Drosophila melanogaster: one gene and its partner. Changing the gene in region 2 together with the main gene of any one other region gives a genetic interaction. Each region holds a gene or a part of one and is shown on either strand. Other genes may lie near its edges.

The links.
Region 1: of pio (region 2) and gammaCOP, changing one suppresses a phenotype caused by changing the other (phenotypic suppression), as found in Drosophila melanogaster (one study listed by BioGRID).

What each region holds. Positions count from the first base shown.
Region 1 is NT_033777.3:31,570,550-31,576,503, forward strand, and holds gammaCOP (coat protein (coatomer) gamma), read left to right. Parts: upstream 1-1,593; 5' UTR 1,594-1,689; coding exon of another isoform or gene 1,690-1,729; 5' UTR 1,730-1,896; coding exon 1,897-2,607; intron 2,608-2,704; coding exon 2,705-4,175; intron 4,176-4,251; coding exon 4,252-4,437; intron 4,438-4,495; coding exon 4,496-4,648; intron 4,649-4,706; coding exon 4,707-4,837; coding exon of another isoform or gene 4,838-4,894; 3' UTR 4,895-5,158; downstream 5,159-5,954. UniProt on the Drosophila melanogaster protein: The coatomer is a cytosolic protein complex that binds to dilysine motifs and reversibly associates with Golgi non-clathrin-coated vesicles, which further mediate biosynthetic protein transport from the ER, via the Golgi up to the trans Golgi network.
Region 2 is NT_033778.4:24,579,406-24,584,546, reverse strand, and holds the start of pio (piopio), read right to left. Parts: upstream 3,303-5,141; 5' UTR 3,179-3,302; exon of another isoform or gene 2,707-3,178; 5' UTR 2,469-2,706; intron 1-2,468. Other genes in the region: CG4681 (uncharacterized protein), read left to right, coding at 4,949-5,141.

The DNA of each region.
Region 1 (5,954 bases), on a different chromosome or scaffold from region 2:
ACACCAGTCGGCCATAAAGCTGCCAATGGCCGGCCGAGAGCAACTGACAGCATCAGCCTTGTGGAGTCACAGGCCACCAGCGGATCGGGATCTCTACTTCCATCCTAGCGAAACACCAAACCCTGAGTATCCCATCCCCGCCCGCATTCCTTGCCATTTGCACGCAAAGCTAACTGCGGATTACAGTCGAAGTTCGATGGGGGACAAGAAGATTCCGAAAGTATACACCACTTGCTACTGCTCGTCGAAATCATTCCTGATGTACATTCATATATAGGTAATCAATTAGGAAAACTTTGAAACACGTCTGTTTGGAAATCAGAACAAACCCAGTCTTGGTACAAGAGGTACCCCAGAATGAATGACGCTGTTGTGGGGGAGCGTTGCACAAATTGGAGTTCTACTGTTGGCTGGCATCCAGCCTGAAACTCACCTGTGGCTCACTCCTTGCGTGCGCCGACGTCTCAACTCTTGCTCCGACTTTGGCCTTAGGTTCGCTCCGACTTGGCTTCAACTTGGGATTCGTGGCTTTGTAGGTGTTTCCAGGGGCCACAGCTGATGCCTTGACAGCTACTAAATTCTCCGCCCGTCTGACGCACACGTTCCTTGTCCAATTTTGGGCACCAGGCGGATTTTCCTCCTGGCCGGCGCTTATCGCCTGGCCATAAATTCATGCTGTAGGTGTCTCGATCTTTTCGGTTTCTTTCTTTTTTGGCTTTTTAGCGTTTTGGCGGAGGTCCTCGCCTCGTGGACACGCAATGAAGCTGTTTCTTCGTGCGCCGGAATTTCCCCGCGGCATGCAAAATGCAATTAACGGCACTTGCAGTGCGCCGGAAATTGACAATTCAATATAATGGGTTCCTTGTTTTCGCTAATTGGTGGTGCTTATGCACGCATAAATTAAGTAAACACAATACGAAGTCGTATTTAATTGGTCAAAACAAACTAGAGCTGACAAAAAAGCTGGCGTCCATTTTGTTAACAGGATCAACACTCGATTAAATTAGGAAAAGTAATCGGTACTTAACGGTCACGAGATCTATCGATCAGAACTTCCCCTCCAGCAAATCATAAATGTACTAATAGCGTATATTATAAATATAAACGAAGTTATTATCTAACTAAAAATTCATCGCATTGATCAGCCTTCGCAATCTTCGTCACAATTCCGGCCAATGCCCATTTAAAAAACGAATCAAACTAATGGTAAAAAATTATGAAAATGTAAATAAAATTTAAAACATTATTATATTCATACAATTTCTTAGCAATTTCGTTATAAAGTTAACGTGGAGCAAATTCAAAGCTTAGCTATTTTTCCGCCCATTCATAATCGATAATCTATCGATAAATACAATCGAACCAGTAAGTGAATCTCAACTAGTTCCTTTTCAATCCAGTGAAGAAACAAGAAATTTTAAGAACAAAAAAAACTACCAGATCTCGGTGTCGAGTTAATTGAAAACTGAAAGTTATAATGTGCAGAATCGGCGAATATATACTGCCTACAAAACGCAGAAAAAAGGTTGTCTTTTAAAGATAAGAACAACATCGGAGCTATCGATACTTAACTGGAGTTTTCACATCGATAACAGATGAACCAACTGGGCACCGCTGAGTGACGTGTAAGCGCAGCCAGAAAACCATTTCAATTGTTTTACCCACAATTTAACCGAAAGTTGCAAGACAATGGGTTCGTTCCGCCGCGAGAAAGATGATGAGGAGGACGGTAAGTAGCAAGCTAGCACCTGGAGCCAAGTTGTCCGCCGACCAGCGAAGCCAATCGAAGACAACCCAGTTGCTTGAAGGTGCTCCGCTGGCACAGACACACACTCACACACCCACTAACCCGACAAAGTCGAGAAAAATCGAGGTTTCCCTAAATTGACTGAGAACATGAACTATTTTTCCCTTACCTCGCACAAAAAACATCGCGGCCATCCGTCAGCAGGACCGAGCAATGCGTACCAGAACCTGGAAAAAACCTCGGTGCTTCAGGAGACGCGCACCTTCAATGAGACGCCGGTGAACCCAAGGAAGTGCATCCACATCCTGACCAAAATCCTGTACCTGATTAATCAGGGTGAGCAGCTTGTGGCCCGCGAGGCCACCGACTGCTTTTTTGCGATGACGAAGCTCTTCCAATCTAAGGACGTGGTGCTGCGTCGTATGGTATACCTGGGCATCAAGGAGCTGAGCTCCATTGCCGAGGACGTCATCATCGTGACTAGCTCGCTAACGAAGGATATGACCGGCAAGGAAGACCTGTACAGGGCCGCCGCAATCCGGGCCTTGTGCAGCATCACGGATAACACCATGTTGCAGGCCGTGGAGCGCTACATGAAGCAGTGCATTGTTGACAAAAACGCGGCAGTTTCTTGTGCTGCATTGGTCAGTTCTTTGAGATTGGCCAACACTGCCGGCGACGTGGTCAAGAGGTGGGCAAACGAGGCCCAGGAGGCTTTGAACAGCGACAACATTATGGTACAGTACCACGCGTTGGGTCTGCTCTACCATATCCGCAAGTCGGATCGGCTGGCTGTCTCCAAGTTGGTCAACAAGCTGACCAGAGGATCTCTAAAGAGTCCCTATGCCGTTTGCATGCTGGTAAGTGAAGTCTGAACCCAAACTTTTCTTAATGAAATGGATATGCACTTATTCCCTTTAAAGTGACATCTGACTAATTTCGTTTTACATCCCCCAGATACGCATTGCCTGTAAGCTGATCGAGGAGGAGGACATTCCCTCTGAGGAGCTTTCCGATTCACCCTTGTTTACGTTCATCGAGTCCTGTCTGCGCCACAAGAGCGAGATGGTCATCTACGAGGCGGCCCACGCCATTGTCAACCTCAAGAACACCAATCCGCGAATGCTATCGCCGGCGTTCTCCATCCTCCAGCTTTTCTGCAGCTCGCCGAAGGCAACGTTGCGCTTTGCGGCTGTGCGCACGCTTAACAAGGTGGCGATGACGCACCCGGCTGCGGTGACCACCTGTAACTTGGACCTGGAAGGTCTCATCACGGACTCCAATCGATCGGTGGCCACTCTGGCCATCACTACGCTGCTAAAGACCGGCGCTGAATCCTCGGTAGAGCGTCTGATGAAGCAGATCTCCACGTTTGTGGCGGAGATTTCCGATGAATTCAAGGTGGTGGTCGTGCAGGCCATTTGCGCTCTGTGCACCAAATATCCGCGCAAGCACACAGTGCTGATGAACTTCCTCAGCGGTATGCTGCGCGAGGAGGGTGGCCTTGAATACAAGACCTCCATAGTTGACACCATCATCACGATCATCGAGGAGAATGCGGACGCCAAGGAGTCCGGTTTGTCGCATCTGTGCGAGTTCATCGAGGATTGTGAACACGTTTCACTGGCGGTGAGGATTCTTCACCTGCTGGGCAAGGAGGGACCCTTTGCGGCCACACCCTCCAAGTATATACGCTTTATCTACAACCGCGTCATCTTGGAGAGCCCTATTGTGCGAGCAGCCGCGGTCACGGCCATGGCCCAGTTTGGAGCATCTTGCCCAGCCTTGTTAAGCAATATCCTCGTTCTGCTGGGTCGTTGCCAGATGGACCCGGACGACGAGGTGCGTGACCGTGCCACCTACTACCTTAGCATTCTTAACTCGGAAAGGCCAGAGCTGTACAAGAACTACATCATCGAAAGGGAGAACTGTTCTCTGGCTCTGCTGGAGAAGTCGCTGGTCGAACATCTGAATGGTGACGTGGACACACGCTTCGATATTTCCATTGTGCCCAAGGCGGCCATAGTTAAGCCAGTTATTGCCAACGACGTAATGCTAGTTACCAGCAGTGCTCCACGGCCGCCGAAGATCACGCGCGAGGAGGAGAGTGCTGCACGTCTGGCACAGCTGCCGGGCATCCAGGTGCTGGGCCCCATCCATCGCAGCACAGCTCCCATCCAGCTTACTGAAAGTGAAACGGAGTACACGGTGCAGTGCATCAAACACATATTCGGCCAGCACGTGGTCTTCCAGTTCGATTGCTTGAATACGCTGTCCGACCAAATCCTTGAAAATGTGCGGGTGGAACTCACGCTGCCGGAAGGATTCACAACCAGGGCGGTCATTCCATGTCCCAAGCTACCCTACAACGATCTGCAAACCACTTTTGTCATCGTAGAATTCCCGCCCGACGCCGCCAATTCCATAGGTAAGTTTATAAATAACATAAATTTTGTATTAAAATCATACAACTTTTTTCAAAACGAACTATTTCCTCATTTCAGCCACCTTTGGTGCCACTTTACGATTTGTGGTCAAGGACTGCGACCCCAACACCGGCGAGCCGGAGTCAGAGGAGGGCTATGACGACGAGTACATGCTAGAGGATTTGGAGCTGACGGTTGCCGATCAGATACAGAAAACCAGAAAGAACAATTTCCAAGTGTCCTGGGATGCGGCTGACAGCGAAGGTGCCACAGAAAGATAAATAGGGTCTATTCAATGATTAGTAATACTCTATATTTGCAGAATGGCTACAAGCCGAGGATACCTTTGTGCTGTCGGCAGTGACCACCTTGCAGGATGCCGTCAACACTATAGTCAAGATCCTGGGCTTGGGCGCTGCAAACCTCTCTGAGAATGTGCCCGAGGGTACGCACCTGCATACGTTGCTCTGTTCAGGTAGGCATCCTTCGCTTTTAGTTCTGAGATCAGTAGTACAGTTTTTCCCCCTTTACAGGAACCTTCAGAGGCGGCGCCGAGATTCTTGTGCGGGCCAAGCTGGCGCTTTCAGAAGGCGTCACGCTCAATCTGACGGTGCGCAGCACGGACCAGGACGTGGCGGAGCTGATAACGGCGGCCATTGGATAAGACAGCGAGCCATGCAGGAACCTCCTTTGGTTCCTGCGTGCTGTGAACGTAATCTGAACTCCCTACGAAACTACGAAACAGAAAGTTACGCCTAATCAAAATATAATTTGTACCTTTAAGCGACTGTCTCTGTAATAATCTTAGAGCCCTGTCCACAATCCGGCATGTGCAACATTGAGTATTGCTACTGGCCATTTCCGAAAAGTTTGTGTGGCGATGCAGCCTTCGGTGTGCATCGCATATGTTTATTATCCCCATTTAGCCTGTGCATTTAGCTTAAGTATGGAAACAAAATATTAAAAATACATGTATATGCAATGCAACCCGACCTGAAGGCGTTTATTTGGCAGGTGCTTTTAAAGTAGGACATTGAAATGATTTTAATGATTGCAAGCTCGTGGAAACCGCACCTCCAAAGAGAAATTGCTTCATAACTAGAACTTACTTTATTTTATATGGTATTTTATTTAATTATAAATAACTTATAGTTGCAGTAGCCTAGAGTACTTCTTGTTTTCCTATTTTTACAAATTTCTTTTCTCGTTTGAATCGTTTATGTTCGCTGCGTCCTCCACATTCGTCTTAAATTACAAATTAACCTTTCTCACATGAATTCATAATTTCTTGTGCTTTTGTTCGCAATCGATTCCTTATTATACATTCTCCGATTCCGACTATGCTGAATATTTTTGTGTAAAATGTATCGACGATGCAGTTCCATCAATCGTTCGAAACGCTCTTCCGTATTAAATATTTAAAATGTAAACGCACACAAGTATAAAAATAATATAGATTCGTAATAACAAATAACACACTCATGCAGTTCGCAGCAATTTCACAATGATAATTTCATTTCGTTACAACTCCTATACTCATCTCCAAATGTGTTGAATATGTCATTAGATATATGTTTATATAGTTACGAGTGGTTGGTTGTCTGTTGTGTTTCATGCGGATTTCTCGCCAGGCGAGTGGTATTCGATTGGAGATGTGCACCATCATCCCGCCTGGCCTGCTCTTCAGATTTATCCATTTTCTTTTATAATACAAACTAGAGTGCTTCTCAGCTTTCATTCCGTCTTCTTGTTGCGACGTTGTCCTCTTCGATCGCTTCACA
Region 2 (5,141 bases):
GCTGGGGTTTCGCGTCTAGAAGTACTAAAAATCCAGCCTCCCAGCTGCTCGTACATTGGCAGCTACTGCTGGTCAGAATCAGCCAAATTCATCATTAAAACTTATTCATTGAGCCCCCTTTTTTTTAAAGCTAATTATTGTTTGTGATGAGGGACTCGACTGATGAGTTCGAGAAATGGGCATTGCTTATTAATGACAGGCCGAGCTGACCTTACGTTTCCCATAATAAGTTTATGCAAGTTTCCTCGGCTCAGTACTTAAGTAACTAACTTTTGAGGAGGATTTCCTCTAAACCATAAATAGTCTCGTACTTGAAGTTAATGAGCGTAGAACTTCACTGAGATAAATCACTTGTAGTGTCATAAATGCTAAACTTAGACATTGATATCATAGACGATCGCTACTATATTACAATAATTTATTTATCTTATATCTTAGTGTCTGAGAACTTAACACACCAAGTATTGGCCACAGTTCTGTGCCCACTTCCTTCGAGCACAGTCCGCAGTTCAAAAGTCTTGGCCTGCCACTCCCCTTTTAAGGCTTGGATTTGAAAGTGTTTGGAATGAATTGAACAACCTCGTGGTCGGTCGACTGCAGTCGCGGGGTTTTGCGTGGGGTTGATCTAAGGTAAAAGCCTGCATTTAAGTCCGCTTGAGTTTGCCAATGTTGGTTTAATTCGCCAGTGGTGGTGGAGGAGGCTGGAGAGTGGGGGATCAACTAGCCAGACGACTTTTCATTTTGGCCGAAAACAAACAAGCAACCCAATGCAGAGTGTCCGTTTAACGGGGGGCAAGCGAAGCTTGTGACTCACGGCTGGGTTTGGGGCACGCCTTTCGCTAGCATTTGGGTTTTTGCATAATTAGTGCTGAGCGCCAACGTGTCGTATGAGTAATGCAGTCGCGAAGTTCGTTGCCTAAGTCTTTCGTTTCAACTGTAAATCAATACCAACGAGCAGGCGGAAATCTAACGCTGAAAAGGTCTTGGCCTGGTTGAATGACCTCACCATTTTTGGCGCTTTCTTTGTTAGTTCTTCCGCGGGAGATTATAAATCAATCACACAGCTTTTGGCAATCAAGCCCACACGCATTTCTCGGCTTAGTTCATAAACCCCCAAAAATCCGTCATATGTCTTCACTTCTCTCACTTAGCTGAGCACACACATCGCCAGGCAGCAAAATAATACGAAATTATACGTACAATCATATTTTCCGTCTTTACCTTATTTTGTGCCCGCTTCAAGGTCACTGCGAGTTGTTGTCTGGCTGTTATATAAACAAGTTAACTACACGATGGCTCAGAAACTGGTATTCGAGCAGCTCGGGCGCAGATTCGCCTTTTAATTATACAAATTTTACGCTTGCGTTGGCGTTCCTCGACGCAAAGCTTTCCGAGAATGCCGGAGAACTTGGAAATATCCAACAGAAGTTGGAGATAAACGCCTTTGGCGGATGAGCCATTATTCACTAGTCAAGGCGTTGTATTCAACGCAGATGAAGACCATTACATTGGCCAACTACAATATTTTGATGGCTAACAAACCACAAATTAACCAATTAATAGGCCATGCATCACCGAAAAGGGAAAGGCCGTGCATCACATTCCCATAGTCCAAAGATGATGCAAGTGTCGGATCGGGATGGGTTCGGGGTTCATCTCTCCATCAATCAACATTTCTAATTGCTTCTTTAGACGCCAACCCGAACACAATGGAACGAACATAATTATGGCTGTGTGATCCGTGGAAGTGCTAAAAGTTCCACAAGGAGAAGAACCCGGTCTCAGCTCATGTGGGTAATGTTGGGTCAGCCAATTAGCAACAGATTCTGGCTTATAATGGCCGCACACGGAGTGGGGGTAAATGTGAATGGACCTTTGATTCCAAGAGCCCGATGACACATTACTTATGCGGTGCGCATCCAGAAATGGGCATTGAAAAACGGGAAAGAAGGCAGGAAAAGCGGATGGAAGACGGATGTCCGTGATGTGGCTACTCAAATAGCCAATTGCCGATGGCCAACCCCATCGCGGCCATATTTGTGTCCCCAGATGATGCAACTGGCTGCGAACTTGGCAGCCAACATCGGCCACTGGCAACCTTGGCAAACAGGTTCAGATCCCCGGACAGATGGCTTCTCAGGCCGCTTTTCAGATAAGGCCCATTTCATTTGCACAGAAAACAGATTGCAACGCTTCTTCAATTTGTTCCCCCGAGTACAAGTATTGGTATTCCGTGAATTCCGAATTTCGAGCGAGGCGAAGTGAAGCCAACCGGTTTGGCTGATGGATTTTTGGCACATCCACAGCGTCGGCGATTTATGAAGTCATCTTTTAAGGCTGTTTTGGGTTTGTTTTTGCAAACGGCACAGCTTTGATTTTCTGCCTGATTTTAACTGTTTCTTTTTGCGGGTTTCGGGTTTCTGGTTATTCGATTATGGCTTTTCAAACAGCAACTCCGCAACACTCACCTCTAGCCAACTTCGCCCTTTTTGCGTAATCCAATTTGTTATGTGTCCGTTGTTGCGATTTCGCTGTGCCTTAAACTGGTTGCCCGGAACGATGATGATTTTAGATATTTTCACGAATTTTGGTTTCACATTAGTTTGATTTTGTTTTTATGTACTTCCTAAGTGTTTTTTTTTTTTTTTGCGGGCTTCCTCTATAATTATTTCGTTTTGTGGCCAACACTCGTTTTACATGTTAACGCTGCGGGAATTGCACATTTAAGAGTTGGCCAAGAGTGGTAAAGAGACGCTAAGAGCTGCTCTTTGTGCGAATTGTGGCAAATAATCCGAGCTGTTGTTGTTGCTGCTGCTGCTGCTGCTATTACGCCGTCTCAACACAAAAGACTGAGGCAACAAACTTCCCGACACTTTTGCACTTCCCCAGAAAACAACGCGAAATATTCAAAAGATTCACAAATCATTCAGCACGTATTTACTGGCCCGGTTCAACCACCCGTCGAGCTTAATCGCTTCCCAAGGGCAACAACAATCAGAGAAAATCACGACAGAAACATCACAGGCACAACAGCAACAACCGCAACTATTTCAAATCTCGGAAACCCATGAACGTCTCTTGGAGCCACGGAAAGCCGTTTCAAATCCACACGCACGATCCAATTAGAACCGGGTAAACGGAGCCATAACCGCAGAGCTACGCCACTCGAAAAACTCACGCACGATTCGGGATCGAAACGAATCGGAATAGCAATCGAAATCGAAGCGATGGGATCGATGGGATAGAGGTTCGTTGAGCGCTGTGGATGTGTCTCGCACACCGACCTGGCCAAGACTGACTGGGCCCGAAACCGAGCCACTCGCACTCCGACGAAAACGCCAAGACGATGGCCGACAACCGGTCTTGCCAAGATTCGGAGTGGCGGCGCTCTGGGATTTTCGGAGCAATTGGCAAGTCTATGTGCGCTCTTCCGACGATCTCTTCACTAAGGCATAGTATAGTATCGCCTCAATTGGCGGTGGCCGCGGTGTCGCTGCCAGTTTTACAGCAGCAACACGTCGTCCAGCTGAGCTGCACTTGATGACCGGCGGGACTGGCGGCCACGCTCCGCTGGCTCCCTTTAATACACCTACGGCTGCGGGTCCAGATTGTCTTTCTAATGAGTGCGGCATAATTAGAGGGTCGGGCGGCGGTCATCCCATATCGCAAGTGTGCACATAGAGAAACATTGGGCTGGAAACCTCAACAAAAAACCCTATATTCCCTAGCTAAGGTTTTTTTAAATTTAAATATTTTTTGCCATATTCTTTAATGTTTGTTTGTGATTAAAATTTATAAAAATGCTTTGATTCGAAGCACTCTAGACTAAGTTTCCAAGTATCCAGGTGGTATCCAAGTGTCTTTGGAGCGCCTCCAGGCCAACGTCATGCTTTCGGCCACAGCTGTGCGCTCGCAACTGGAAGTCAGGTTCTGCTCAAACTTGGCAGCAGATCGGTGCAATTATGGCCAGTGTGTGGGCTGTCACCAGAACACCTTGATGACGGCATATATGGCCACTGGTGGGGCTGACTGCTTGGACTGACGAGGCTTCTCTGTGGGACACATGCTGCTCTTCTTTTGTTTTACTCGGTAGGCACATAAATCTTGAACTTGTCTCTACATTCTGTGAACCCAGCGCCCTTGCAACCTCGAGATCCCAGGTGCGAGTACAGGTAGCTGTGACACCTCGGAGACCCCGAGTTGTTGTTACTTTCTGCCGTATTTCCCTTGAAGCTGCCCGTCGCTGTTTATACTTTAGTTCTATCAATATTTATTATTATTATGCGTGTTCCTCTGTTTCGGTTATACATGTGTGGGGAAAACTTGGATGAAGTGGACGAATTATTCTTTTGAGACGTGAGAGAATTCTACAAGGACTGGGATGGGTAAATCCCTCACCATTTGGCATTATAGGTACTTTACACAAATAAAATATAAGCATATATTTATGAGTGGAAATTTTTTAAATAATTTAAAATGTATTATTTATTTATTATATATTTATGTTAAAATAGTTAAGCAAGCTCTTAAGAGCATGGCCTGCCCACCTTATTGACTATAAATAAATTTAAATAAAAAATTTTCCAACTCCTCAATCCGTCGAAAAGGGGAAGTCCAAGCGACAGTCGTCGGGGGGACAATCGAACAAACCGAAAACCACCCCATTGAACAGCAACAGGACATGGAGTTCCGGAGGGACCAGGCCGATTCCCAAAAGGCGGCCGGGGGATTCAGGACTACGTAGCCGGGGTAACTGTCACTGTTTGGCGTCCGGAAAATTTATTAACTCCAGCCGAATTTATAGTATTAACCTTGATATAGCCGTGTGGAGCTACTAGCAAATTAAATCTGAGAAAAATTCAATGTGTGTAGATTGTCCAGGTCTTTTATCAAATCACAATCGTTGTTGCAAGAAACTTAGCCACCGTCCTCGCATCGACCCACCGTAATGGCCGAGCTTCTGTCCCGCGAGAAGGAGCTCTTTAAGATAAACCAGGAGCTGAATCTCCTGACCCTCAGTCCAGCTGCCGACGCCATGTATCCGGCAAAGGGGTCATCCAAATCCACGGCGGTGGCGGTGCCGCGCTTCGCCACCTTCCAGAAACAAAAGGGGCCGAGCAGCCTGCTCCGGAAAAAGGGTG